7 linked regions of the Sus scrofa genome follow. The protein of the gene in region 1 purifies or fractionates together with the protein of each later gene. This does not show direct contact. Links are inferred from orthologs where the notes say so. Each region holds a gene or a part of one and is shown on either strand. Other genes may lie near its edges.

Region 1 (4,197 bases):
TAACCCACTGAGCGAGGCCAGGGATTGAACCTGCAATCTCATGGTTCCTAGCCGGATTCACTTCCACTATGCCACACTGGAACTCCCCTAAGATAAACTTTTATGGTTAATGGGATTTACTTTGACTGATTTCAGACTTGTAACAGACATAACTGAGAGCAATACTGCAGGTTGGTCTCACTCTTTCAGGTGGGGGGCCTAATGATTATAATTTTGCTCCAAGGAACACTTGGCCAAGGGCCGAGGGGGGTGGACTGTGCAGAAGAGAGCTACTAAAGCAGGCCTGAGACTGCTCTCCTTAGAAAGACTTGCTCCGTGGTTGGCCCTTGGCTGGCATTTCAGTTCTTGGATTTCAGGAAGGTTCTCACCATTTCCTTAATGATAAAGAGTCGCTCACTGGGCCTACACTGTGCAAACAATGTGGTTTATGCTGTATACCTGCGTTCCCTCCAGGAATCTGGAATTTGGGTGTATGCTAGCAGAGGGCGCCCCCAGAAAAGCCCTAGGAGCTGAGTCTCTAATAAGCTTTCCTGGTAGATGACAGTTCATGCATGTCATCACACTCATTGCTGGAGGAATCAAGTGTGTCCTGTGTGACTCCACTGGGAGAAGACTGTGGGAAGGTGGGGCCTGGTTGCCTCTGGATTTTGTCCCATGCGCTTCTTCCCTTTTGATTTCGCTTCGTAGCCTTTCGCTGCAATAAACCTTAGCCGTCTGTGAGTAGGACTCTATGCTGAGCCCTGGGAATCTCTTAGTGAATCATCAAACTGGGGGTGGTCTTGGGGAGCCCCAACACAGAGCAAAGAGAGACTTCTGGCGTGTTGGTAGTATTCTCTTTCTCAGTCTGGGTGCTGTTTACATGGGGTGTGTTCAGTTTGTGAAAATTCACTGAGCTGTACAGTTAAGATATGTATACTTTTCTGGCAGAGGGAGTCAACTTTATAAAAAGATAAAATGGATATTACACATCACAGGGGTTAAAAAAGAATAACTTAATTAAAAAAACTTATTTAGTAAACATTTTATTTTTTTAAAAGTTTTTTATGATAGTTGATTTACCGTGTTCTGTCAATTTCTGCTGTACAGTGACCCAGTTATACATATGCATATTCTTTTTTTCATATTATTTTCTATCATGTTCTATGACAAGGGATTGTATAGAGTTCCCTGTGCTATACAGCAGGACCTCATTGCTTATCCATTCTAAATGTAATAGTTTATTTAGCAAACTTTTTTTTTTTTTTGCTTTTTTGCTTTTTAGGGCTGCACCTGTGGTACATGGAAGTTCCCAGGCTAGGGGTCAAATGGGAACTGCAGCCACTGGCCTACGCCATAGCCACGTGGGATCTGAGCCAGATGTGCAACCTACACCACAGTTCACAGCAATCTTTAACTCACTGAGAGAGGCCAGAGATCCAATCTGGGTCCTCATGGATGCTAGTCAGGTTCATAACCCACCGAGCCACAATGGAAGCTCCCTATTCAGCAAACATTTTAATCACTCCTTTTTATTAGGCACTATGCTGGGAGCTTGGGACATGGGGTAGGAATGATGTCATCATGCCACTTTGTTTATTGGGAGTCAGGTAAAGAGATACTTGTAATTCGGTTGATTTTTGCTGAGTTCTAGCACAGACATCATAGGATGTCTAACTATTACCAAAGACTACTAACCTGGGTAATCGGCTATTGCAGGGTTTCCGCTCAAACATCTACAGAAGCCAGACAGGCAAATGGGCAAAGGGGTAGCTGGGAACTGTGGCAAACTGGAAAGGTATGTAGGCATAGAGTTGCCACAGCAAGTAGTTTTCCTTAAGAAAAAGCCACAAAACTGATTTTTTTATGTGCGCTCTCTGTATTTTTGAACCTGTAAATGGATCCAAAAATTTAACAGCGGGAGACCAAACAAAACACCTCTGCAGACCAAATTTGGCCTTGGTCTACCAGTTTGCCAGGCATTCCGCCAACCAGCCACACAGTCCCTCTTACCAAACAATTGAAGGTCCACTATTTTAGGCGCTGGGAGACAGCAGTGAGCCAGCCAGCCGACTTTCTTGCAGAATAGCGGGGTGGGGGCTCTGGTTCTGTGCTTCTCAAACTTCCCTAAGTGTAGGACTCACTGGGAGGCCTGCGGTGAGGCCTGAAGCTTTGCCTTTCTAACAAGCTCCCAGGTGGTGATAATGCTGGTGGTTCCTGCACCATACTTTGAGTAGCCTTGAGCTGTAACCCAGAGGCTCGGGAGCAGCTGTTATTTGAAGGAGGGAAGTAGGGGGTTTGTCTTGAAGGTCACATTTGCCTGGCAAGCATCCTCTTTTTACTTAGATTTTAGTTTACTGCAGGGACTTGGAAGAGAGTTGATGACGTCGAAGGCGGGTGTTAAGGCTCTCCCAGCTACCTCTCGGCGCTGCCGGGTCTCCGTTCTCAGTTTATAAGCTCGAAGGCGGGGCAGGGGTGAAGGAAGGTGGTGGGAAAAACTTCCTGGGGGAGGTGCACGTGGACTGCCCGACCTTCCCCAGCCGCCGAGAAAGGGAGAAACCCCGAACTCCCCCTCTCCTGGGACTGGGTCTCAGCATCCCCACGCCGGGTCTGGTTTCCCAGGCATCCCACGTGTCCGCGAGTCCCTGTCAATCAAGCTTCTCCTCCCCGGGCTGGGCACGGGTTTAAAGGAGGCTGCTGCGCAGAGAGCTCCCATAGTGCCGCGCGGCGGGCGGGTTTGGATTTTAAATCCCCGCGGCCAATCAGTAGCGCGTAGGCTTTTGTAACGTTCCCGGCGCCGCGTTTGAATTCGAGGAGGGGCAGAGCGGTGCCAAGCCTCGGCCCAGACCCTGCTAGGTCCGCTGAGCAACTCCGGGGACATGAGTGCGGCGGCAACTACAGGGAAGCTGGCGCGGGCACCGGCTGACCCAGGAAAAGCCGGGGGCCCCGGAGTTGCAGCTCCCGGGGCCCCGGCGGCCGCTCCGCCGGCGAAAGAGATCCCGGAGGTCCTAGTGGACCCGCGCAGCCGGCGGCGCTATCTCCGCGGGCGCTTTCTGGGGAAGGGCGGCTTTGCCAAGTGCTTCGAGATCTCGGACGCGGACACGAAGGAGGTGTTCGCCGGCAAGATCGTGCCGAAGTCGCTGCTGCTCAAGCCGCACCAGAAGGAGAAGATGTCCATGGAGATATCCATTCACCGCAGCCTTGCCCACCAGCACGTCGTCGGCTTCCACGGCTTTTTCGAGGACAACGACTTCGTGTTCGTGGTGCTGGAGCTCTGCCGCCGGAGAGTGAGTGTCGCTGCTGGGAAACTGGAGCTGCCTGCAGGCTGGGGTTGGGGCGTCCGGACCCAGCTGCTGGGGAGGGGACCCCCCGGGACTCGGAGCTGCTGGAGAGGAGGTGCTGGGTGGGAATCTCGAGCTGGAAGTGGAGAAGGTCTCGAGTAGAGAGGGGGCTTGGCACTTGGGGCTGCTAGGGGAGGGGGGTTCGGGTTTAGTGGAGCCCGGGTCGCGTTGCCTCTAGGGAAGGCGGCTCAAGGACGCTAGGAGTTGGGCGGAGTTGGGGAGGCGCGGGTCGCGGGAGAGCCCTGCTAATGGTCTTCCGGAGTTGCTAGGTACGGGGTGCTCTGGACCTTCCGGAGTGGGGTTGGGTCAGGCACAGGGTAGTTGGAGCCAGACTTGGGGGCTTCCGGGGAGGAGAGGGGTCAGAAAAGGGATCTCTTGCTGCGGAAGAGGCCTGGCGAGGGGGTGGCGGGGGGGGGGGGGGGGCATACGGGGTACTCTTGAACTTCCTGAAGGGTTGAGAGAGGAGTCCCAGGTAAGGGAGCTGGTGGGAGAGAGGGCGCTCTGAACCGTTGTGGCCTGGCTTAGGGGAGAGTGGAGAGCATAGCTGTCCTGGAGAAGGACTGCTGGGTAGGGTCCTAGGCAGCTTTCACCTAATGATACTGCTTCCCTGCCTTGGGCCTGAGTACCCACTGCCCGTTCCTCCTTCCTCCCCTCGCCAAGTCTCTCCTGGAGCTGCACAAGCGGAGGAAAGCACTCACCGAGCCCGAGGCCCGCTACTATCTGCGGCAGATCGTCCTCGGCTGCCAGTACCTGCACCGAAACCGTGTTATTCACAGAGACCTCAAGCTGGGCAACCTCTTCCTGAACGAGGATCTGGAGGTGAAAATAGGTGAGGAGCTGGGCCTGCAAGGGCGTTTGACATTGCAGGAAGTGGGAATGA
Region 2 (3,500 bases), on another chromosome or scaffold:
CACACACACCTGCTGAAGGGACAGCTCGTTGGGGAAAGCGGCCTCCACGTCCTCATCCTCACCTGAGGGGTGCAGGAGGCGGGTGCTCACCTGCAACAGCCAGGGCGGCGGGCATGAGCCTCCCTGTGCGGTGCACGGGGCCCCGCGCCAAGCAGCCCCACGGGCACAGGCCAGGAAGGACCGGGGGGCCAAGGGGCCCCCCTCTCGACCGGCCCGGGGCCAGAGGCTCCACCGCACGCTCTCGGCTGCGGGGTGCACGTGAGCTGTCTACAGACGCGGGGGCTGCTCACCAGGTCCACCGCGTTCCTGCGGTTGGCCTCGGTCAGCGTCTCCTCCACGAAGCTCGCCCAGCGCCCACGGCAGTCCGCAGGGAGCCCTGCAGAGAAGGCCATCCGTAAGCCCCAGGCACAAGGGGGGCATGGGGTGCGGCCACACCCCTCCCTCCCCGCAGGCCCCATGGCACCTACCCGGGCCTGGGGGCCCCTGTTTTTCTGGGGCGGTCGGAGCCTCGGAAAGACCCACAGCCCAGAAACAGGGAGGAAGATCGTGGCCAAGGGCTCCCCGCTCGCTCCCACCTCCCCAGACCCAGCTCTGCCCGGGACCCCCTCCTGCAGGTGCAGACCAAGGGGCTGCCCCCGCCCAGCCCCACCGATGGAGGCTCACGGCCGAGACCCCCACGAGGGCAACTAGGGGAGGCACAGGTGTGGGCCCATCATGGCCACGCCGCCGCACACCCAACCTTTCTGTCCGCCCGCAGGGCGGCCCCCTCCACCGGCACCTCCGCACCTGCTCCCTAGCAGGCCCCTGCCTCGGCCCCAGGGCCTGAGCCCCGAGGCACCCTGCCTCCCCAGCAAGGCCACAATCCCCTCCTAAGCTGCTGCCTTCTTGTGTCTGAATGGAGGTGCCTCAGGCCCCCAGCTCAGCCCAGGAGGCCGGGCACCCAGAGCTGCAGGCTGTGCCCAGGACACTCCAGGGCTGGGAAGGGCGCGGGTGGCCGCCCTCGGGTCTGGCAGCCGGGGCAGAGGAGGCCTGGCCAGGGCCCGGCGCCACTCTGGGGAAGAGCCCCCTCCCCCGCTCGCAGACGGGCCCCGCGGCCAGAGAAGAGCTGGTCTCTTGGCGTCGGCCCCGCAGAAGCGCGCCCGGGGCCCCCAGGGCTGCCCTGTGGGCAGGCAAGCCCACGGCCCGGGCACCAGCCGGCAGCCCCAGACGGCCGCACGCTCACCTCGGATGACCTCGCTGACGTGGGTCTGCATGGGGCCCCCCTCGAGGTTCTGCACCACCGCGTTGGCGATGCGCGTCAGGTGGCCCATGTTTCCGCGCCTCATGCCGCCCGCGGCCCTGGGGAGACGCGGCGTCAGGCCAGGCGGCCCCGCGGCCCCAACAGGCTACCGCCCCGCCAGCCTCCTCATGGCCTCACTGTGGGACACCAGCTCCATGCCTGCGTCACTTGCAGGTCACCACCGAGCAGTGACACCGGCAGCCGTGGCGGGGGCTGAGGCCACAGAGCCCGCACCCACCCCCGCGGCCTCCAGACCAGCGCCCGGGCAGTGCTCCTGCAAGGGCCGCGGGCGTGTGCCAAGCTCCTAGGGGAGCCCGGGGACAGACCCAGGACCTGGGAGTGGGCAGAGCACGGGGCAGCGGTGGGGCAGGCCTGTCCCTGCCCTGCTCACGAGTGCTCCGCGCCCAGAAGCGCAGGTCCTGGCTCCCGTCCGTGGTGCCGCACGCCCCACGTGGCCGTGAACACACAGCTCTCCCTCGATGCAGCACCTGGCCCACGCGTGACCCAGCAGAACAGCAAGCCTCCCCCCACAGGCCCCGGGAAGAGGGTCCTGCCAATCTTCGCCCCTGGGGCCCGGAGGGGAGAGGGCGCGCTTTCAGCTGTGTTCCCCGCTCAGAGCCTGCCACCCCCAGGAGAGGAAGCAGGGGTGGTCCTGAGTCCAGGGCCAGCCTGGCAGAGGACGGGGGTCAGCGGAGGCTGGGCGGGACCGGCCCCCAGGTGGAGCTGGGATGAGGGTGGAGGCCTGTGACCAGCTGGCCAGGATGCAGGAGAGCTGGACCGAGGCCGGCCAGGGCCCGCGTCTGGAGGCATCCAGGCTCACAAGCCTGGCCACAGGCTGCCGTGGCTCAGGGACCCCTCGGGGACAGCGGCCGGCCCTCCCCCGACACAGGAACACACACGTGTGCAGCAATATGCCTTCCTGGGCACCACGTGGACTGCACCCAGGGGAATGCCAGGCGGCCCCGTTCTCTTGTTGCTACTTGAGAGCAGACACAACCTTGTGGGTCCTACACTTGGCGGGAATGTAAACTGGTACAACCACTGCACACAGGAGAATGGAGCTTCCTCAGAAAACAGTATCAAGCCACCATATGACCCAGCAAGCCCACTGCTGGGCATATACCTGGACAAAACTTCACTGAAAAAGACACATGCACCTGCATGCTCACTGCAGCACCGTCCACAACAGCCAAGACATGGAAACAACCTCAATGTCCATCAACAGATGACCGGAGTAGGAAGATGTGGTATCTATACACAATGGACTACTACTCAGCCATAAAAAAGAACAAAATAATGCCATTTGCAGCAACATGGATGGAACTAGACACACTCATATTAAGTGAAGTAAGTCAGAAAGAGAAAGACAGGAGTTCCCACTGTGGCACAGTGGAAACAAATCCGACTAGGAACCATGATGTTGTGGGTTCGATCCCTGGCCTCGCTCAGTAGGTTAAGGATCTGGCATTACTGTGAGCTGTGGTGTAGGTCACAGATGTGGCTTGGATCCCACATTGCTGTGGCTGTGGTGTAAGCCGGCAGCTGTAGCTCTGATTCGACCCCTAGCCTGGGAATCTCCATATGCTGCGAGTGCAGCCCTAAAAAGCAAAAAAAAGCCAAATACCATATGATATCACTCATACCTGAAATCTAACACACGGCACAAATGACCCTTTCCACAGAAAAGAAAATCATGGACTTGGAGAACAGACTTGTTGCCGAGGGAGAGGGAGGGACCGGGGTCCGGGGTTAGCAGATGCAAACCATCGCACTGGGAGCAGATAAGCAATGAGGCCCTGCCGTACGGCACAGGGAGCTATATCCAATCGCTTGCGATGGAACGTGATGGAGGATCATGGGAAAAGAGACCGCACGTATTTGTATGTATAACTGGGTCACTTCGCTGTACAGCAGAAACTGACAGGACACTGTAAGTCAACTATAATAGGAAAAATTAAAAAAAAAAAAAATTGTGGGTCCAGTCCTAGCAGGACATGAGGGGTGAACTAGGTGAGGTTGGAGAGAAGCAGAAGCGGCCCTGGGCAGAGCGGGGCTGGGGCTGCCCACGGTGGACCCCGCGGCCACACTGGGGACCTGGGCCGTTGCAACTTTCAAGCAGGGAGTGACACGACCTGTCGGTTTCAGAAAGATCCCAGCCGATCCCCAGAGGAGAGGCCAGGTGGGGCGATAAGAACACAGGAGGTGTCTTTCGAGGGCTCAG
Region 3 (3,500 bases), on another chromosome or scaffold:
GCAGACGATATATGAGACTATGTTTTCAGTTTCAGATGGTTTCTCATAAAGGAGGCAGTAGAGTACAGTGGTTAAAAGCCCTAGCTTGAGCGAGTTTCCCTGGTGGCTCAGTGGTAACAAACCCGACTAGTATCCATGAGGACACAGGTTTGATCCTTGGCCCCTCTCAGTGGGTTGAAGATCTGGTATTGCTGTGACCTGTGGTGTGGGTCCCAGATTCGGCTCGGATCTGGCATTGCTGTGGCTGTGGTGTAGGCTCACAGCTGTAACTCTGATTCAACCCATGGCCTGGGAACTTCTGTATGCCGCGGGTACAGCCCTAAAAAACAAAAAATAAAAAAAATTTTTAAAAGACTTAGGTTTAGGAGTTCCCGTCGTGGCACAGTGGTTAATGAACCCGACTAGGAACCATGACGTTCCAGGTGTTCTATCCCTGGCCTCGCTCAGTGGGTTAAGGATCCGGTGTTGCCGTGAACTGCGGTGTAGGTCACAGATGTGGCTCAAATCTGACGTTGCTGTGGCTGTGGTGTAGGCCTGCAGCTATAGCTCCAATTAGACCCCTAGCCTGGGAACCTCCATATGCTGCAGGTGCAGCCCTAGAAAAGACAAAAAAAAAAAAAAAAAAAAAAGACTTAGCTTTGGCATCAGACAAATCTAGGTGTGAATACTGCTTTGGTCATTTGATTCCTACATGACTTTTGGCAAGTTATAGAACTTCTCTTATCTGTGAAATGGGGGTAGTTATAGAACCTAACTCATGAGATTTTTGAGACATGTCACATAGAGTACTCATTACATTGTGTGGCACGTAGTAAGCTTTTAAAAATATATTAGCTATCACAGGAGTTCCCAACCTGGCTTAGTGGTTAACGAACTTGGCTAGTATCCATGAGGATGTGGGTTCCATCCCTGGCCTCTCTCAGTGGGTTAAGGATCTGGCGTTGCCGTGAACTGTGGGGTAGGTCGCAGACCCGACTCGGATTCTGAGTTGCTATGGCTGTGGTGTAGGCTGGCAGCTGTAGCTCCAATTCAACCCATAGCTTGGGAACTTCCACATGCCATGGGAGACAAAAAGACAAAAGACAAAAATAAAAATGTTAGTTATCATTAATATTAATTTTTATTCTGAATGCCTTCCAGAAGGTGCTTCCTGGAGGGGTCTGCCCCCATGTTCCTGTGCCGAGTTCCAGGACAGCCTCAACCTCAGTTACCATCCCTCAGGCTTGAGCCTGCACCTCAGACCACCCAGCCCGGGAAGTTCCCTACAGGAGCAGCCCCTCTCCCAAGTCCTAAGCCCTGAGCCCCCAGACCCAGAAAAGCTTCCTGTGCCCCCTGCCCCTCCGTCCAAGAGGCACTGCCGCTCACTCTCAGTGCCCGTGGACCTGTCTCGCTGGCAGCCGGTGTGGCGGCCCGCCCCCTCCAAGCTGTGGACTCCCATCAAGCACCGGGGCAGTGGTGGAGGGGGTGGGCCGCAGGTGCCTCACCAGAGCCCCCCGAAGCGGGTCTCCAGCCTCAGGTTCCTCCAAGCTCCCAGTGCCTCTTCTCAATGTGCCCCAGCCCACAGACCCTACAGTCCCCCTTTCTTCAGCCTGGCCCTGGCCCAAGAGTCCTCTCGTCCCTCTGCTGCCTCCCCGCAGAGTGGCTCCTGGGAGAGTGATGCTGAGTCCTTGTCACCTTGCCCACCCCAGCGCCGCTTCTCCCTGTCGCCCAGCCTGGGCCCACAGGCAAGCCGCTTCTTGCCCTCTGCCCGGAGCTCCCCCGCATCCTCCCCGGAGCTGCCCTGGCGACCTCGAGGCCTGCGCAATCTTCCCCGAAGCCGCTCACAGCCTTGCGATCTTGATGCCCGAAAAGCTGGGGTCAAGCGGCGCCATGAGGAGGACCCGCGGCGGCTGCGGCCTTCCTTGGACTTTGACAAGATGAATCAGGTGGGACCTGCAGGACCAGGGAGGCTTGGATGGGAGTAGGGGCACTGTTCCGTTTTCACTTTTGTGCTGTCCTCTAGCTCTGGGCCCTTCCTGGGTCTCCCCAGGAGCTCCTTTCTCTCTGAGCTTTTTGCTAGGGTGTTCTGTCTCCATTTACCCAGGACTATCCCGGTTTTAGCCCTGAAGGTCCCAGGTCTTGTGAAAAGCCTCAGTCCTGGGGGGTTCCAGAGAAACTTGGGATGAGACCTCTGTTAAACCTTCCAACAGAGATCCCACATTGTCATGCTAGAGGCACTTTGGCTCCTCTCTGAGAAGGCAAGAGCTACCAAAGCTCCATCATCAGTGCCCCACCCTCCTCACACATGGCTGGCTTTACCCCTTGCCCTTCGCTGCTTGCTGTGGGTCTGTGACGGCTTAAGCATGGCAGTCTGCTACATCATTCATCTGCCCAACAAATGTTTTTGACTTCCCAGTGTGCGTGCAGTTGTTGTATGCACTTGCCCACTTTTTCCATGTTCTTCCTTCTAAATTACTGGGTTGCAAACCTTTTCGAATAAGTGAGAACCTATTCACTCATTCATAGAATCATTCATTCAACTAGTCAGCAAACAATATTGAATACCTGCTATGTAGCAGGCTCTGAGGAGGCACTAGCAATCCAGTAGTGGAATAAGCAGACAGCATTCCTGCCCACGTGAAGATTTTATTGATTAATTGATTTTTGCTTTTTAGGGCCGCACCTGCGGTATGTGGAGGTTCCCAGGCTAGGGGTCTGATAGGAGCTACAGCTGCTGAAGCCTCAGATCTGCGTCTGCGACGTACACCATAGCTCACAGCAACACCAGCTCCTTAACCCACTGAGCAAGGCCAGAGATCGAACCTGCAACCTCATGGTTCCTAGTCGGATTTGTTTCCGCCCCACCACGACGGGAACTCCCATGTGAAGATTTTAAACCTGCTTCTAATCTTGAATCTCATAGAAACTGTGGGCTCTTTCTTCAAAGAAATGTGCATGTATACCAAATATCCCAAATTTTATCAGGGAGGTCATGACCTCACCCTAATGCTTAGGACTCCTGCCTTCAAGGCACTCTGGGCCAGGGTTCTCTGGGAAGTGAGTGTCTTTCTTTGCTTTAATTTTGTTTGTTTGTTTGACAGAAACCATACTCAGGAGGTCTCTGTCTCCAAGAAACAGCCCCGGAAGGCAGCAGTAACTCTCCACCGTGGTTCATGGCCTGTAGCCCCCCGCCTCTCTCTGCTTCCTGCAGCCCCATTGGGGGTTCCTCCCAGGTGCTGAGTGAAAGCGAAGAGGAGGAAGAGGGGGCCGTGCGGTGGGGGCGGCAGGCGCTGAGCAAGCGGACACTGTGCCAGCAGGACTTTGGGGACCTGGACTTGAATCTGATTGAGGAGAACTAAAACTGAGAGGCTGCTTCCTGGGGCCACACAGACTGACTCTCTTATGGCTACTAACAAGTGTCGAGGTCCCAAGGCCCGGGGCCCAGCCTGGGAATGGGGGTGAGTGGAGGGCTCCGACTCAGGGCAGCCGGAAATCTTCTCGCTCCAGGAAGCTCGACCATG
Region 4 (3,500 bases), on another chromosome or scaffold:
TCACATATTACAATAGCAAAGTTATGACCAAATGAACTGAAGACATGAACAATTCTGAAAATTCTCTTTTCAGCCTTCTTCTAAAAGAAATAGTCAGGCTTTTTTCCTGTACATAGTTTTGAGCTTTGTCTATACCATATATAGAAAAATAAATTCTTTAGCAATCTAGAAACAGTTTATAAAACTCTTAAAGTTTAATTTTCTTTGCCAGACATGCCAATGTTAAACTGACAGCTATAAATTAAAGCTATATAGACAATAGGTATAAGTAATATAGAACAAGTTAAGAATACTACATTTACCGGATTTTTCTTTTTAAAAATTACTGTACTTTCTTAATTCCTGTGTGCTTTGCAATAGGAATAATAGGGACTTTGTTTTCTTAGAAAAGATAATAACATGTAAGAGTATAACACAAATAAGATAATTTATAATATACATGTACTTCAACAGCAGCCTGGTTCATGTCAACATCTTGATTCTGAAGTTAAAATTAGAAGTACAATACCTAGGACATAACAGTTGGGAAAGACAGTATTTATTTTAGGAAAAACATGGAGCAAATCAAACTCTTAGGAGCCTCAAATCTCAAAATCATCTATTTACTATAGTACATATAAGACAACCTTAAAATTGCAGTATGAATGAAGATTACAACATGGACCAAAGAATTTTTTCTTTACTACACAAAATATAACCTAGCAACAAAAAACAAGCCTTTTTTTTTTCCCCCCCCTTTCTGGGGAAAAAAATGGCATGGTTTGATAATGAACAAATTTTGAATAAGGCCTAACAAAATTTACCTATGCCACTTATTCCGAAAATTTTATTCATTAATTTAGTGTTCTGGTGGTAACTTCACTGACAAAATATTTAATCCCCAAAGCAGCAGTCATTTACAGCAAATCTGGTACCAACATTAAAGGAAAAAAAATTGGTTTAAAAAATGGTGTAAAAGCCATTTTGGATTTTAGTACAACATTATCAAAGAAAAGAATATGAATACAGGTTTGCAACAATATATGTACATACTCCAAAGAGGCTGTCAGTACCCAAAGTATTTTTATTGCTATATTAGCAATGGATTTTGGGATATGGTTTTAAGGGCCACATAAAAATAGATTCAAGGGACAGATTAAATTGAAGTCCTAGATTAAAATGTTTGGTTTAAAGAATTTTCTACAACAAATTTCATGTTTATGTATGAAAAGTTATATAACCTTATATGAAAATGTCATGAAGTATTTTCTACACTACTAAATGTATTTCCCAAGAGGGAAAAAAATTAAAATATCTAAAATATATTAGATTAAGATTACAAGACCATAATAGATCTTTTGAACATGCATCTGTTTACAGAATTAACAGTATACAAGATGTTTGTTTCATTATGGACTATAAAGAAATGAGTTGGTGACAGCTATCCTTTGCACAACATTATCAACTCACTTTAGCCACAAGCATGTCCTTGGTATGTGTGTATAAGAAATGTTCATTTACCCCCATCAAATAATCCATAGGTTTACTTAGAAGATGAAGGTGCAAAAAGGTTAAGTGTATTTTTCCTTCTTTCAAATAACATCCCAAGCATGGCATAAGTAGCCTGAAATTAAAAAATACTTAACTGGGATTTTAGTTATCTACACAGACTGCTAAAAGTAAATTAAGTTGCTCAAATTAGCACATCATATAACAAAACCAGCCATAAAGCAGGCTGAAAAGCATTAAATGTTTCATATATGTGAATTTTTAAATCATTTAATTTCTATAGAAAAATTTTATTCACAATATAATGTGACAGAAAATGCCACAGGAATGATATACTGATTGCAATAAGGTTGCATGCAACAGCAGCTTTGTATTTTATAGCTATTTTTGTTTATAAAAATTAAACGTCTCCAGTCATGCTTATCACATGGTATTAGATTTGCAATGTAAATGAATAAGGAATACCATATATTTCAAAGAGAAATGTCTCATCATTTTGAATGTGAATTACCTGTAAGAAACATGAAGTATACTACTGAACCCTGAAACATGCATGTCTAGATTTGCTTTTTGTCCAATTTCAGGCTGTCTGCAATCACTTCCAACTTATATAATACCAAGAGGATCTGTCTGTAACTGTGGTTGTATCAGCTGAGGTTGCAATGGTGGTGGTAACTGAAGCGGTACCATTGGTTCCACCAATTGTCCTGGGTTTGAAGGTGGTGGAGGAGCCACAGTGTTCGCAGTTTCCACAATCTCTCCATTGTAAAAGAAAAACTGACACTGCTGAATGAATGTTTCAACAACAGACTGATGGATCTTGGTGGTAGACAGAAACTCTCGATTTTCAAAATCAGGTCTCATCAAAGTTGGCCAAAAACAGATGGATAAGTTGTCTGCTGTCATTAGGTTGACTTTATTTTGCTGACTAACTCTGAAATTATAAGAAAAAAAACAAATAAAAGAGTCAAAGCTCAGTGCAATTAAAGAATCCAAGAGCTAGATATTATTTTAGATGATTTAGTTTTACCTTTTGTTAATCTTAACTTCAAATTTAAAACTTTTTCTTCTTGTGCATTCCATGTTCAACTACATTCTCATAACAGAAGGGAGCAGTAGAATTCATTCCTTATGAGAATCAAAGATGGTCTTTACTTGGGAAAAACTATTATATTCTCTAACCAGGATACTTTTCAACTTGCAAAAACAATTAATTTCCTAGAACTCCAAAAAACAATCTTTCCAATCATTAAGTACTCTGTACATTGTTACAAATTTAATTTCAATGACAAGAGTTCAGAGAAACACATACTCATATGATTTAAAAATAAATAATTTACAAATGAACATATACTATTAACTACTTTACATCTAGGCCTTTAAATATGTGAGCAGGAGTTCCTGTCGTGGCGCAGAGGAAACAAATCTGACCAGGAACCATAAGGTTGTGGGTTCGATCCCTGGCCTCGTTCAGTGGGTTAAGGATTCAGCATTGCCATGAGCTGTCATGTAGGTTGCCGATGGGGCTGGGATCCTGTGTTGGTGTGGCTCTGGTATAGGCTGGTAGCTGTAGCTCCAAATAGACTCCTAGGCTGGGAACCTCCATATGCCATGGGTGCAGCCCTAAAAAGCAAAATAAACAAACAAACAAACAAACAAACGAGCAAGCACTACCTGTAATAAGCAAGAAATATAAGAAGCAAATCGTGAATTATAAATTATTAAATTGGGAGGAAATAAGTATTTTATCCAACCCTCTCATTTCACACAAAAAGAAACAGCCCAGTATACAAGGTAGGAAGAAAATCTTACACTTAAATTTACATTATCAAAAATTTAAAAAGTAAACCAAAAGACCCCCAAACACAATAGTTGCTCATCTGAGGTAAAATATGTGCTCTAAAAACATGTGTTCTGTCACAAAAGTTATTAGTATTTGTTGAGACTAAATGAGAATATTCAGAATAAAATCAACTTTTTGTTAAGATTTAGCATATGATGGGGCCCAGTCA
Region 5 (4,184 bases), on another chromosome or scaffold:
TATTAGGTTCAACCCAAAATTTGATAAAAGTAATCCTTTGTGAAAAATAATAACATTACCCTACTCCTCTTTCTCCTACTCCCTCTGGCCCCCACACCCTTCAAGTTCCAACAATTCTGGCCTAGGGCAGTGCAATAGCCTAACTGGCCTACTCAGGCACACCCCTCCGTGAACTCTTTAAACTGCAAATCTAATCCTGACTCTCTTCTGCTTAACATGTTTTGATTCTCTGTAAGGGCCAAACTTTTCAGTGGTGGCTAAGGTCCTGAGGCTCTGGTTCCAGCTTCATCTCACACGCACTCTGCACAGGTCTCTTAGCTCACACTCCTCAGAGACGCTTCAGCCTCTGTGCAGACCTCCCTTCCTCCCCTCCTACCACACTGCCCTGCAGCACCTCCCACCCTTTGCTTTGAGGGTCTCCCTCCCACCTTTGCCTAAAGGTATCAGATCACAGACCAAGCATGAGTTCCTGGGAAATGCTCTTCTCACCTCCCTTAAGGCCAGATCCTCTTACTGGAGATACTCAATGTGATCCCCGAGTTCTAATTTATCACCTCACAGTTGAACTCTCCATTTGTTTAAATAGGTAATTTGCTTCGAAAATGTCTTCTTTCTCCTCCCATCAGACCTTAAGCTCAGGAGAAAGGCCCCTCTGCCACTGCATCCTAGCGCCGCCTGGTGCACAATGGGTGCTCAACTAAACTTAGGTGTTGCCTAAGTTAATAATAAAGTAATTTACCACATATAAACGATAGCATGGGGCCGGGGACGAGATTTGGATTGAAGGTTCAGAGCCGAGGCGGAGTTTGCGGCCTGTATGTAAATTTTGAGGAGGAGGGAGCTTGAACAAGGTCACAACTGCGCCCAAGTAGCCCGAAGGCCGGTAGGGGCTCCGGACGGTCGCTGGTTGCAGGTCAACGGAGGACAGTTCCCCCATCCCCTCCACCAGCTGGGAAGTCGCTGAGGGGGTAAGATCCCGGGGCGGCGACTGCTCAGGGCCCGGAGGGCTGCGGGGCCTGCCCGTGATACCCAGTGTCCCCGCGTCCCGCCGCAGCGGAGCCCTCCAGCGCCCTCCCCAAGAGCCGCGCGCCCGCACCTCTAGGTTCCGCCTCGCCCGCCGCGGCTTCGCCGGCGGTCCCGACTCCCCAGCTCACCTGCCTCACCCGCCGCCGCTCCGCCGACCTCACTGCCCGGCGGGGCCACCTCACTGGCCTCTCCCGCCTGCCGAGCAACCTCACCTGCCGGGCTGGACCGCAGCGCCCGCCCAGACGACTAGGCGGATCGCGGAAACAAGGCCGCCGCCGATTGGCCACGCCCGTCACGTGACCGCAACGCTCCGCCGGCGCCAATTTCAAACAGCGGAACAAACTGAAAGCTCCGGAGCGGGACCCCACCCCCGGCCCCGGCCCGGGACAACACCCCCCCCCGCGGCGGGATCCCGGGATTCCCCACCCCGCAGCCCGGGGACGCGGCCCGGCCTGCAGGTGGGAGCAGCGCGGAGCCTCCGGGAGCCCAGAGCTGACGGTGCAGAGAGGTGAGCGGCGGCAGGAGGGAGGCCCGGGGGCCCGGCGGCAAGACGGCGCGGAGGGCCGGCTCCGGCGGGAGGTGGCGGGGCTGCACCGCGCTTCTGCACCACCTCCCGGCCTCCTCACCTCTCTCGCGGAGCGGCCCGGGCCCTCCCTGGGAGGAAGGGCGGCCTGCTCGCTCTGGCAGACGGCGGATGGGATCCATCTGAGCCCACTCCGCTTAGAACCGACACCGACCAGCTCCCAGTCCCTGCGCCCAGGTGCCCTCACCACTAGGCTGCACTGCCTCCACCCCGCCCTTTCCCAGGGCCCTCCTCGCGGTCCTGGAGACCCTTGTCCTATGTGGTCTGGATGGGGGTCGGGTCGCGGGGGTCGCGGGAGCCGTTCCGGGCTAGAAAGGATTGGCCATTGGAGGTAGAGGGTGGTCTGAATAGAAAGGAAAATTAAACTTTAGACCTGAAAGATATCCTGGGGTGAGGGGTAGGAAGCCAGTACTAGTGTCTTCTGATTGATGGGTGGAGGGAGGAAGGCCAGAAGAGATAGGAGGTGGAGGTAAAACTGAGATTTGAAGGGAGAGGAAACCTAGATGTAAAGGAAAGGGAGGAGGCAGAGTGGAGAAGGTCTGTGACTTCTAAGCAGATGGCAAATGTCATATGAGTGTGACAATCATTTTTAGGGAGATTGCAGATAGCCTAAAAAAGAGACAACCTATTCCTCTGTCTCTCAAAGCACCTCTCAGTAGAATCACACAACTCTACATTATGGTAGAGTATTCATGGATCTGTTAAAATCAACAAAACACAATTTTTAAAAGATAAAACCGATTTCCATTAACATTACAGAACCACCGGGCACATTGATGGTAGCACATTCTATTAGGAGAGAGGGATTATGGTCTTGATTCTGAAAGTTAATCGAGTCGCATGCCTAGAAAATCAAAATATGAATAAGTACTTACAAGTTATAAAATGTCTCCATATAAATATTTTGCAAATTGTGGGGAAAATGTTTTTTTTTTTTTTTCCTAAATCAGTGGAAGGATAATAGCCTGTTAAGTGAATGTCAGCCATGATCTGCACAACTGTACCCTGAGCCTTGAAGGGGGCAGTTTCCCTTTTATCTGAGGTCTCATGAACTGGGAGATGTTTCCTTCAGTGGTGTGACAATAGTGCAACGGATAATTTGCCTTTTTCCTCTGATTCTGTGGGCACAGATCCTTTAATTTATAAAGTGAAATATTATAAGAAATATAAAAGAGGGAGTTCCCGTTGTGGCTCAGCGGTAACAAACCCAACTAGCATCCATGAGGACATGGGTTCAATCCCTGGCCTCGCTCAGTGGGTTAAGGATCTGGCATTGCTGTGACTGTGGGACTGTGGTGTAGGCCAGCAGCTGTAGCTCCAATTCAACCCCTAGCCTGGAAACTTCCATATGCTTTGAGTGGGGCCCTAAAAAGATCAAAAAAAAAAAGAGAGGAGTTCTCATCGTGGCACAGTGGTTAACAAATCCGACTAGGAACCATGAGGTTGAGGGTTCGGTCCCTGCCCTTGCTCAGTGGGTTAAGGATCCGGCGTTGCCGTGAGCTGTGGTGTAAGTTGCAGACGCGGCTCGGATCCCGAGTTGCTGTGGCTCTGGCGTAGGCCGGTGGCTATAGCTCCTATTCGACCCCTAGCCTGGGAAACTCCATATGCCACAGGAGCGGCCCTAGAAATAGCAAAAAGACAAAAAAAAAAAAAGAGAGAGAGAAATATAGGAGAGTTACCTGGTGGCCTAGTGGTTAAGGATCTGGTGTCATCACTCCTGTAGCTTGGGTTCGATCCCTAGCCCAGGACTTCTGCATGCTGCAGTTGGGGCTGGAAAAAAAAAAAAAAAAAAATATATATATATATATATATGTAAATGCTCCAGACTAGAATGGATTATGGGATCAGGGACTTATCAGAATGTCCATTCTAGCATTCCCACCCCTACAGTCACTGCAAGTGATCTGAATTATTGTAGGCAATAATAGGCATTTCCACATTTTTGTAGCTCCCCTACTTGTATCTGTTGCCAAACATTCTTTTTTTTTTTTTTGTCTTTTTGCCATTTCTTGGGCCGTTCCCGAGGCATATGGAGGTTTCCTGGCTAAGGGTCTAATCGGAGCTGTAGCCACCGGCCTACGCCAGAGCCACAGCAACTCGGGATCTGAGCCGCGTCTGCAGCCTATACCACAGCTCACAGCCTCGCCGGATCCTTAACCCACTGAGCAAGGGCAGGGATCAAACCCTCAACCTCATGGTTCCTAGTCGGCTTCATTAACCACTGAGCCACGACAAGAACTCCTGTTGCCAAACATTCTTAAGCTTCCAGACCTTTGGCTATGTTGACCTACAACTAACTCAATCTCACTTTGAATTGCCTCTATTTGCTTCCGTAGAACTCAGCTCCTGTTGTCTTTAGTCTTTACAGAGGCCCAGGGACCATTCACCTGGGCCCATGGCTTACCCTCCTGGTCATGAAGAGGAACACCCCTCTCTAACAAAACCTCCTAACAGATCTCTGACATCCTGCTCTTTCTTGCACTTTCCAGGGTCCATGCTTGTGATTTCTCAATGGAGAGTGAAAGCACAGACTCATAATGAAAACCAGCCCCCGTCGGCCACTGATTCTCAAAAG
Region 6 (4,208 bases), about 16 Mb from region 1:
CGGCATATGGAGGTTCCCAGGCTAGGGGTCTAATCGGAGCTGTAGCCTCCGGCCTATGCCAGAGCCACAGCAACGTGGGATCCGAGCCGCGTCTGCAACCTACACCACAGCTCACGGCAACGCCAGATCATTAACCCACTGAGCAAGGGCAGGGACCGAACCCGCAACCTCATGGTTCCTAGTCGGATTCGTTAACCACTGCGCCACGACAGGAACTCCCTGAAACTCAACATTGAGAACTAAATACCATATGACCCAGCAATCGCACTCTTACTAGGTATATACCCAAGAGAACTAAAAACACGCTCATACACAGATGTTCACAGCACTTTATTTTCTTTTGGCAGCACCTGCTGCATATATAAGTTCACCATCCAGGGACTGAATCTAAGCCGCAGCTGCAACCTATGTCACAACTGCGGCAACAAGCGATCCTTAACTCACTGCCTGCTGGGGACAGAACACGAGTCCCAGCGCTGCAGAGACAGCACAGATCCCATTGCGCCAAAGCAGGAATTCCTGTAAATTATATTTAAGCAAGGAAAAAAAAAAAAAAAAAAGCCAAATGCATGGGCCTACTCCGTCTCCTGTATTCACTACTATCAGAAAGTGGGACCACATTCTACTCAGATGCTCAGGCCAGAAACCCACATACCCCCATCACTAACTAGGTCACGATAATTCAGTCGTCTTAACAGTTGTCCCTTCCCTCCACTCCAACTCCTAATTCAGGCCACCGCCATGTCTCGCCTGCGATACAGGAGCCTTTTCACCGAGGTAGCCTCTCCAGACCAATTTTTACACTGCGACTAGCACTTTCTTTAAAAACAAAGTCTTTAACGGCTCCCAGTGCCTCTTAAGGCCCTTAATACACTTCACAGTTTCTCTCAAACTTCAGCCCGAGCGAACCTCTCCGGCTTCGCGCCCCTCAAGCCCGGAGAGCCAGCCTCGGGGGTGGGCGTGAGGGGGGGTGAGCATCGCCTCGGCTTCGGCTTACCCTCGGCCCGCGCTGGGCAACCCGCCCTCCGGGCCTCAACCTGCCCACAACCATCAGAAGGACGCTCTCCCGCTGCGTCTGGCTGCGTCGGGCGCCTCGGTTTACTCGTCGGCTCGTCAGGCCGGTGCCCTCCAAGGGGCCGCCAATGAAGCCGCATACGTTTCCTGTGTGAACCGTGGTGCACTCAAACTTCAGCTTAAAGCCCAGGCAGGAGCCTAAACTCCCCCTGACTCTTCCTCAACACTTCAGAGTGCCTGGCGCCACCTAGGCCCGCGGCCACACGACCCTCGTGCACGGCACTCCACCTCCTCCCGCCTCGCGCGGTCGGAAACGCTCTGCTGCGCCCCTTGGCCGCGAAGCAGGATGGGAAGCGAGCCCGCGGGTCGCCCAGCGCCTGCGCAAACGCAATTCTCCGCGCGATGCCCAGTGGCGCATGCGCAGGCGCGCGGGTCTCCGTTGAGAAGGTGCTGCGGCGGCGCCGGAGGTAGGAGGAGTCGGGCTTGGGGCCGGGAGTCTACACCCGGGAGAGCAGGTCCCACTGCTTTGGGCCTTTCCTTCTCTCCTGAAGGTGAAGAACCTTTCTCGCCCGCCGTTAAATGCGGTTAGAGGCAGGAGCCGCGCTTGGGTGGAGGGGGCCAGGGCATCCTAAACGGAAGAGGGGAGGGGTACCGGATAACTATGGGGTCACGACCCGGAGGTCCGTCGGGCGATCGGGATTCGCTGTCTACCTTTATAGGCGCCAGAGTCCTTCGCAGCCCTTTTCCAGGGGACAGCCCGTGTGTCACTGGGTTGAGGGAAGCGGGGGTCCGCCCGCACCTGCCCCATTCATTCTTTCCGCGTCTGTGGCACGCCTGCCGCTGTAGGTACAAAGCTGTCTCAGACCTCTGGAAACCTGCGCTCTCCTTCAGTAGATACTGAGTGAGCACTGTATAGAAGCACTGTTTTAGACTAGTATTTTCAGAGTCGGAGATTCAAAGCAGTGTGGAGGGCAGAGTCTACTCTAGCGATCACATCCAACCGTTTGCTTAGCCTGACGTTCCAGACGCTCGGACACGATTCTCTGCTTCTCCCTGCAGCCTTCTCTCCTGCCACTCTTTTTCGCTCCTGATTGTACCAAACTCAGCAGTTAGGTAATTCAACAGATAATTGTCTAGCACTTATTCCAAGCCCGGCACCTTGTCAGCCAAAGAGACTATGAAATAAAGATAAGCATGTGCTCCCTGAAGTTTTGAGCTTAGTAGGGGACAGATAAGTAAATGAACAAAAAAATATAAGAGGCGATGCCCTGGAACCACACTGCCTGGATTTGATCCCAGCCCTGCCACTTGAAAAGCTGTGAGAACCTGAGCCCATTCTTTATTCTTGTGCCTGGTTCCTTGCTGTAAAGACAGGATGACAGGTATTCCCTGGTGGCTCAGCTGCTTAAGGATCTGGCATTGTCATTGGTGTGGCTCCGGTCGCTGCTGTGGTTCGGGTTCAATCCCTGGCCCACAGACTTCCTCATGCTGCGGTGGAGCCGAAAGGAGGGATGACAATAGATTCTCCCAGCAGGGTTGTTGTATGTATTAAGCTAGACTTGTAAAGCACCTGAGACTGCTGCCTGGCCACTCAGTAAGCTTTCAATAAGTCTATTACATATTATTATACCTGCTGATAAATGCCATTGAGAAAGTGATGTGCAATGATAAGAAATAATGATATCCTCTCTGGGAGCAAAGAGGACACAGTTAGTTTATCTTTTTCCATTAGATAAAGAATGAGGACAGGCTTCTCTAAGGAGATGGAAGATGCAAATGAGCTAGCCATGCCAAGTAGATTTTAGGCCTAGCTCTGGAAGACTAGGTGATTAACTGGATTACTTAGACAGTGGAAATTGCATCGTAGCATTTGAAATGAACTTTCTGCCATTGGGTTATTCAGTGTTGATTTGTGAACTCCCCTAAACTGTGCCAGTATAAATAAGCATGCCCATAGGGACCAATCTTTGCATATGGGCAGCATACTAGCTCTGAGCCAGGACAGTTGCTGGGGTGACAGGATGGAGAAAAGCAACCTTTTTCTGATTTGGAAAAACTGGGGGCATCAGTGAAGGAAGAGCCTTTTGTATCTTCCTGAGTGTTCAGGTGTCCATTCCCTCGCTCTCATTATATTGCTTGCTGATAGAGCCTCTGAGCTGGAGGCCTTGGACCAGCATGGGCCTAAGAGATAGTTTTTTCTGGTTTGGGGGGTCATCTTGTTTGTGTGATGACTCTTCATAGGATTCATTCCCCAGGTTTCAGTAAAAACTATACTCTTCAAAGTTGCACAGATTTTTCTGCCTGTGGAAGGAGAAGCTTTGACAGGTTTCTGGATCCCTCTCCCCTGTCATGTTGGGGTCCCCTATAGGATGATTAGTCAGTGTTAACCAGGCTAGAGCTGAGTATTTGACAGGGGATTGTTAACCTGAAGACTTTCCCTATACCCCACATGCTCTTGTACCTTCCTGGAAGAAATAGCATAAAGTGACAACATCTAATTACACCTTTTTTTTTTTTTTTGGCCTTACCGGTGGAAGTTCCTGGGCCAGGGATCAAACCCAAACCACATCAATAACCACAGCAGTGACACTGCCAGATCCTTATCCCTTTGACCCACCAGGGAACTCCAAATTACACAGATGCTTTTGGTTTTCCACAGGTGAAAAATTGAACACATGTGCTTTATCAATACGGAGATCTTGGCGAACCTCCTGAGCACCAAAGTCACATGTATTCTATCTCAGAGGCATCTCCTGGATGAGAGAACCTCTCAGATGTGAACTTTAATAGAGGTAAGCTTTAAACATGCTGTTTAACCCAGGTTCCACTTGAAGACATTTTATTATTTTTTAAAAATTTATTTATTTTTTTGTCTTTTTTTGCCATTTCTTGGGACTCTCCCACGGCATATGGAGGTTCCCAGGCTAGGGATGGAATCAGAGCTGTAGCTGCCAGCCTACGCCAGAGCCACAGCAACGCGGGACCCGAGCCGCATCTGCGGCCTACACCACAGCTCATAGCAACGCTGGATCTGTTAACACACTGAGCAAGGCCAGGGATTGAACCTGCAGCCTCATGGATCCTAGTCGGATTCGTTAACCACTGCGCCATGATGGGAACTCCTTGAAGACATTTTAAATCATCATGGAGGGTGGACACTACTTTTTGCTCAATTGTGCAAACTCTCCAGGTAT
Region 7 (3,500 bases), on another chromosome or scaffold:
AGCTTGATCTGAAAGAGCCGTGCAGACCCTCAAGACAGGCCGCGCCCTCCCCGCTCACAGCTATTTCCACCTCCTTGGGAAGATTTTCACATTAAACCTGCTATGGAATAAAGTGTGCACGAGAAGCCGGCACACACTCTCAGCCCAGTGGCTGCCGGGTCACCCACCTGCCAGCTGACAGACTTAGCCTCCACGTTTGGGGACCTTCAGGTTTTACATGTGCCTGCCTGATGGGCTAGAGACTCTCCAACCTTAGTATTTCCCACAGAAGCATCTCATTAAATTTGACTTAATCACAAGTGATGCTAAACTGAGGATGCTCCCTTACAGAACCCCTGCCCCTGGCAAGACCCCAGAGGAGCACCCAGGGCCCGGCCCAGGCCTCTAATGAGCCCGCCTGCCCCAGAGCAAATGAAGTGCGGTTTCAGGGGTCCGGAGTGGAGAGGGCATGTGGAGGGGCACGCACCATCTGCTTGTCGGAGAAGACGGAGCGGTTGTGGATGAGCGCCATGCTGTGGGTGGTGTGGCAGCGCTCGCAGGTGCCGGGCTCCGCAATGCGGCCTCGGTCTATCTCCACCCGGGCCGTGTGGGCGCACACCTGGCACTGGAAGAAGGCCTCCTGCATCTCGGGGATCAGCTGGGACGTCCTGATCACCATGCCGCTGATGGCAATGAGCTGGTCGATGTCTGCAGGGTGGGGAGAGGGCAGCTGTCCTCTCTGAGCTGGAGCAGACGTCCAGCCAGGAGGGCCTCAACTGAGGTGTCGGGATGGCCAGGGTCACAGAGCAGACGTCTCGCTGGCTACCCTGGGGTCTGGCCTCAGACACGCTTCCCGTGTCTGGCTTGCTCCCCCCAACCCCTTAGGTCCACTTACCCGTGCTGAGCTGGGCCAAGCAAAGGCTACCTGGAGATGTGGGCCCCAGGATGCAGCCGAGAGCCATGCTTGTGACCATCTCCTACAGTCACAGGGGCCATCCCCACGTCAAACACCATTGCTTGTCTGTTGTTTCTTTGCTGGGGCCCTGTCCCAGGCACCCCCATCTCTTCCCTCGTCTGCCTCCTGTCCAGCTCCACTTTTTGCCTCCATGCTTTTGCCCATGTTGTTCCCTCGCCTGGACCTCACTCTTGCCACACGCGGGGACCCTGGCTCCTAGTGAACCAGGTAGGCGGGTGGGCTGGGTGGGGTTCCCGTGTGCCCTTGGGAACAGGCTGAGCCTCCGCAGCCTCACCCATGGGGCAGGAGTCGGGCCCCCCTGCTGCTGAGGACTAGCACCCTGCAGAGAACCACCTTCCCCACAGCTGAGCTTCTCAGGCCGCCAGCTCTCACCAGGGCTCACGTGGCCTCTGCCATCTGGTGCCCCCCCAACCTCCTGCTCCCTCCCACCAACCCTCCTCTTCTTTTAAAATGTAGCTGTTGTGATGGTTGGATCTCTGGAAGTTTCTTGACTTCCACAACCATGGTCATTGCCAACCTCCCTGGAACTTGCCCTTTAGTAATAAAGCAGCCCAGCACCCTCATCTGGACAACTCCTACCCACCAGGGTCCCTCCACAACCTCCCAGTGTGGGGATGGTACCAGAGTCAAGTTCCCAAGGGAAAATATGACTCTTCCTTCGTAAATGGCCAAGTCCAATATTTGCTGCTGTTTATTGGTTGTTTCGCTTTTACTGAGATTTGCGCCTTTAGCACATTTACCTACAGGAGTACTTGCTAATTTCCTACAGCTTTTATACCTCACTCAACCATCACATCTGCCCTGTGTTTTCACTCCTATAGGCACCGTCCATGGTGGAGCATCCTAACTGCACTTGAACATACCCTGCATACTCAGGAACTTCTCAGGAGAAATTCTTTCTCCTCAGAAAGGATCAATGGCTCCCCACTGGCTTAGGATTAAAAGCCTAAGCTCCTCAGGCCCCACCCAGACATCCCTGCTGCAGCCATCACGTCCTGTCTGAAGTCTTGCTTCACTTCTGCTCACATCCCTTCTTTCTGTCTAGAGTGAAGCCCTTAGGTCTGCTTCCCAATCCTTCCCACTGGACCGGCACTGCCTCTACTTGGGCTGAGACTTACCCACCACATGCTTCTGCCTCTTCCACCATTTCTTCTGTAAGCTTCAGGGCAGGGACTGCATTTTATATTTGTTTTCAACACTGACCCTGAATTTAGAGAGCTACCGAGTTATGGTATCTTTTTTATGGTTTTACTTTAGGTAACAATAGGTATGGTGGATCTAAAAGCTTATGGGTGACTGGATCTGTCACTAGGTCTTGTCAATTTATAGCCCACAACCAATGCTTTTAAAGTTCCTTGATGAGGTTTTTGTTTACTTTCACATAAGGTATTTTCCTGCTATTAAAAGTGTTACCCTCTATATGTCATCTCTATCTCAGTAAAAGTGGAAGAAAAATCACCTTCTGGATTCAGGTTCCTCATATTCTTAGTCTTCAATGCATTGAATGGTCTTACTTGAATCTGATGTTCTAAGATCGAGTCAGGATAACGGTCAAAGAAGATCTCATTGACAGCCATGTCGAAAGTTGGGATAACTTCCTTTAAAAACAAACATAATGCAGGCTGTGTTTGTGTTCTTATTTCAATATATTCTTATTTTTTTATTTTTTGTCTTTTTAGGGCTGCACTTGTAGAATATGGAAGTTCCCAGGCCAGGGGTCAAATTGCAGCTGTTGCTGCCAGCCTGCGCCAGAGCCACAGCAATGCAGGATCCAAGCCACGTCTGCGACCCACACCACAGCTCACAGCAATGCCAGATCCTTAACCCACTGAGCGAGGCCAGGGATCAAACCTGCAACCTCATGGTTCCTAGTCAGATTCGTTTCTGCTGTCCATGATGGGAACTCCCAATATAGTCTTAAATATAATAAAGCAACTCATGTTAGCAAAGCATCAAAGCAAGAAACAAAAAAACCCCACAAAAACTCACAACCTGCATAATCCAAAAACGTTACCTTGTAAAATCACAGACATGCTGTTTACAAACCCTTGGGCACCCTGAACTCTCTCACCTCTGCATATTCCCACTTGAGTTAAATAATACCAGACAGACAATAGTGCCTTCATGGAGTTCCCTTGTGGTGAGGGTTCGATCCCTGGCCTGGGAACTTCTGCATGCCATACCCAAAAAAGTTGCCTTTATGATACTGTAGTTACATGAGCTTAGTAATAGAACCTCATCCTCTCATGACTTACTTTTTCTCTATAACAAAATGATATCAAAATATTCATTCAAATTTTTTAATACCTATTCCCCATTTTGCAGATAAGGAAACAGCCTCTTGGAAGCTGAGGAACTGGACCAAAGTCTCAGTTACTTAGCAGCAAAATCAGGATTTAAAACCAAGTCTGGGAGCCTTTTCTCGAGGTTACCTGAGCTGCTACCTCCCAGGCTTAAGTCCTAATTTCACCCCAAATAAAACTTAGCTCTCAACTTAAAAATAAAGCAAAACCAAGTGTACCTGCCTTCAAAGCCTCAAGCTAGA

The links.
Region 2: the proteins of PLK1 (region 1) and PPP6R2 purify together in Homo sapiens (affinity purification with mass spectrometry; 7 studies listed by BioGRID and IntAct, counting the BioPlex papers as one, with this or other methods). This does not show direct contact. The link is inferred for Sus scrofa from reciprocal best matches to the Homo sapiens genes PLK1 and PPP6R2.
Region 3: the proteins of PLK1 (region 1) and FAM53C purify together in Homo sapiens (affinity purification with mass spectrometry; 3 studies listed by BioGRID and IntAct, counting the BioPlex papers as one, with this or other methods). This does not show direct contact. The link is inferred for Sus scrofa from reciprocal best matches to the Homo sapiens genes PLK1 and FAM53C.
Region 4: the proteins of PLK1 (region 1) and ARHGAP5 purify together in Homo sapiens (affinity purification with mass spectrometry; 3 studies listed by BioGRID and IntAct, counting the BioPlex papers as one, with this or other methods). This does not show direct contact. The link is inferred for Sus scrofa from reciprocal best matches to the Homo sapiens genes PLK1 and ARHGAP5.
Region 5: the proteins of PLK1 (region 1) and FOXM1 purify together in Homo sapiens (affinity purification with western blotting; 5 studies listed by BioGRID, with this or other methods). This does not show direct contact. The link is inferred for Sus scrofa from reciprocal best matches to the Homo sapiens genes PLK1 and FOXM1.
Region 6: the proteins of PLK1 (region 1) and SLX4 purify together in Homo sapiens (affinity purification with mass spectrometry; 9 studies listed by BioGRID and IntAct, with this or other methods). This does not show direct contact. The link is inferred for Sus scrofa from reciprocal best matches to the Homo sapiens genes PLK1 and SLX4.
Region 7: the proteins of PLK1 (region 1) and MCM4 purify together in Homo sapiens (affinity purification with mass spectrometry; 3 studies listed by BioGRID and IntAct, with this or other methods). This does not show direct contact. The link is inferred for Sus scrofa from reciprocal best matches to the Homo sapiens genes PLK1 and MCM4.

Annotation. Positions count from the first base shown.
Region 1 is NC_010445.4:22,548,096-22,552,292, reverse strand, and holds the start of PLK1 (serine/threonine-protein kinase PLK1), read left to right. Parts: upstream 1-1,397; 5' UTR 1,398-2,855; coding exon 2,856-3,263; intron 3,264-3,977; coding exon 3,978-4,146; intron 4,147-4,197. UniProt on the Homo sapiens protein: Serine/threonine-protein kinase that performs several important functions throughout M phase of the cell cycle, including the regulation of centrosome maturation and spindle assembly, the removal of cohesins from chromosome arms, the inactivation of anaphase-promoting complex/cyclosome (APC/C) inhibitors, and the regulation of mitotic exit and cytokinesis.
Region 2 is NC_010447.5:289,528-293,027, forward strand, and holds part of PPP6R2 (serine/threonine-protein phosphatase 6 regulatory subunit 2), read right to left. Parts: intron 1,339-3,500; coding exon 1,223-1,338; intron 377-1,222; coding exon 291-376; intron 91-290; coding exon 10-90; intron 1-9. UniProt on the Homo sapiens protein: Regulatory subunit of protein phosphatase 6 (PP6). May function as a scaffolding PP6 subunit. Involved in the PP6-mediated dephosphorylation of NFKBIE opposing its degradation in response to TNF-alpha.
Region 3 is NC_010444.4:140,337,101-140,340,600, forward strand, and holds part of FAM53C (protein FAM53C), read left to right. Parts: intron 1-1,140; coding exon 1,141-1,925; intron 1,926-3,080; coding exon 3,081-3,338; 3' UTR 3,339-3,500.
Region 4 is NC_010449.5:67,495,462-67,498,961, forward strand, and holds part of ARHGAP5 (rho GTPase-activating protein 5), read right to left. Parts: intron 2,423-3,500; coding exon 2,095-2,422; 3' UTR 1-2,094. UniProt on the Homo sapiens protein: GTPase-activating protein for Rho family members.
Region 5 is NC_010447.5:67,244,849-67,249,032, forward strand, and holds the start of FOXM1 (forkhead box protein M1), read left to right. Parts: upstream 1-1,384; 5' UTR 1,385-1,534; intron 1,535-4,098; 5' UTR 4,099-4,146; coding exon 4,147-4,184. UniProt on the Homo sapiens protein: Transcription factor regulating the expression of cell cycle genes essential for DNA replication and mitosis. Plays a role in the control of cell proliferation. Also plays a role in DNA break repair, participating in the DNA damage checkpoint response.
Region 6 is NC_010445.4:38,645,496-38,649,703, forward strand, and holds the start of SLX4 (structure-specific endonuclease subunit SLX4), read left to right. Parts: upstream 1-1,408; 5' UTR 1,409-1,481; exon of another isoform or gene 1,482-1,565; intron 1,566-3,673; 5' UTR 3,674-3,806; intron 3,807-4,208. UniProt on the Homo sapiens protein: Regulatory subunit that interacts with and increases the activity of different structure-specific endonucleases.
Region 7 is NC_010446.5:79,680,465-79,683,964, forward strand, and holds part of MCM4 (DNA replication licensing factor MCM4), read right to left. Parts: intron 2,554-3,500; coding exon 2,415-2,553; intron 688-2,414; coding exon 467-687; intron 9-466; coding exon 1-8. UniProt on the Homo sapiens protein: Acts as a component of the MCM2-7 complex (MCM complex) which is the replicative helicase essential for 'once per cell cycle' DNA replication initiation and elongation in eukaryotic cells.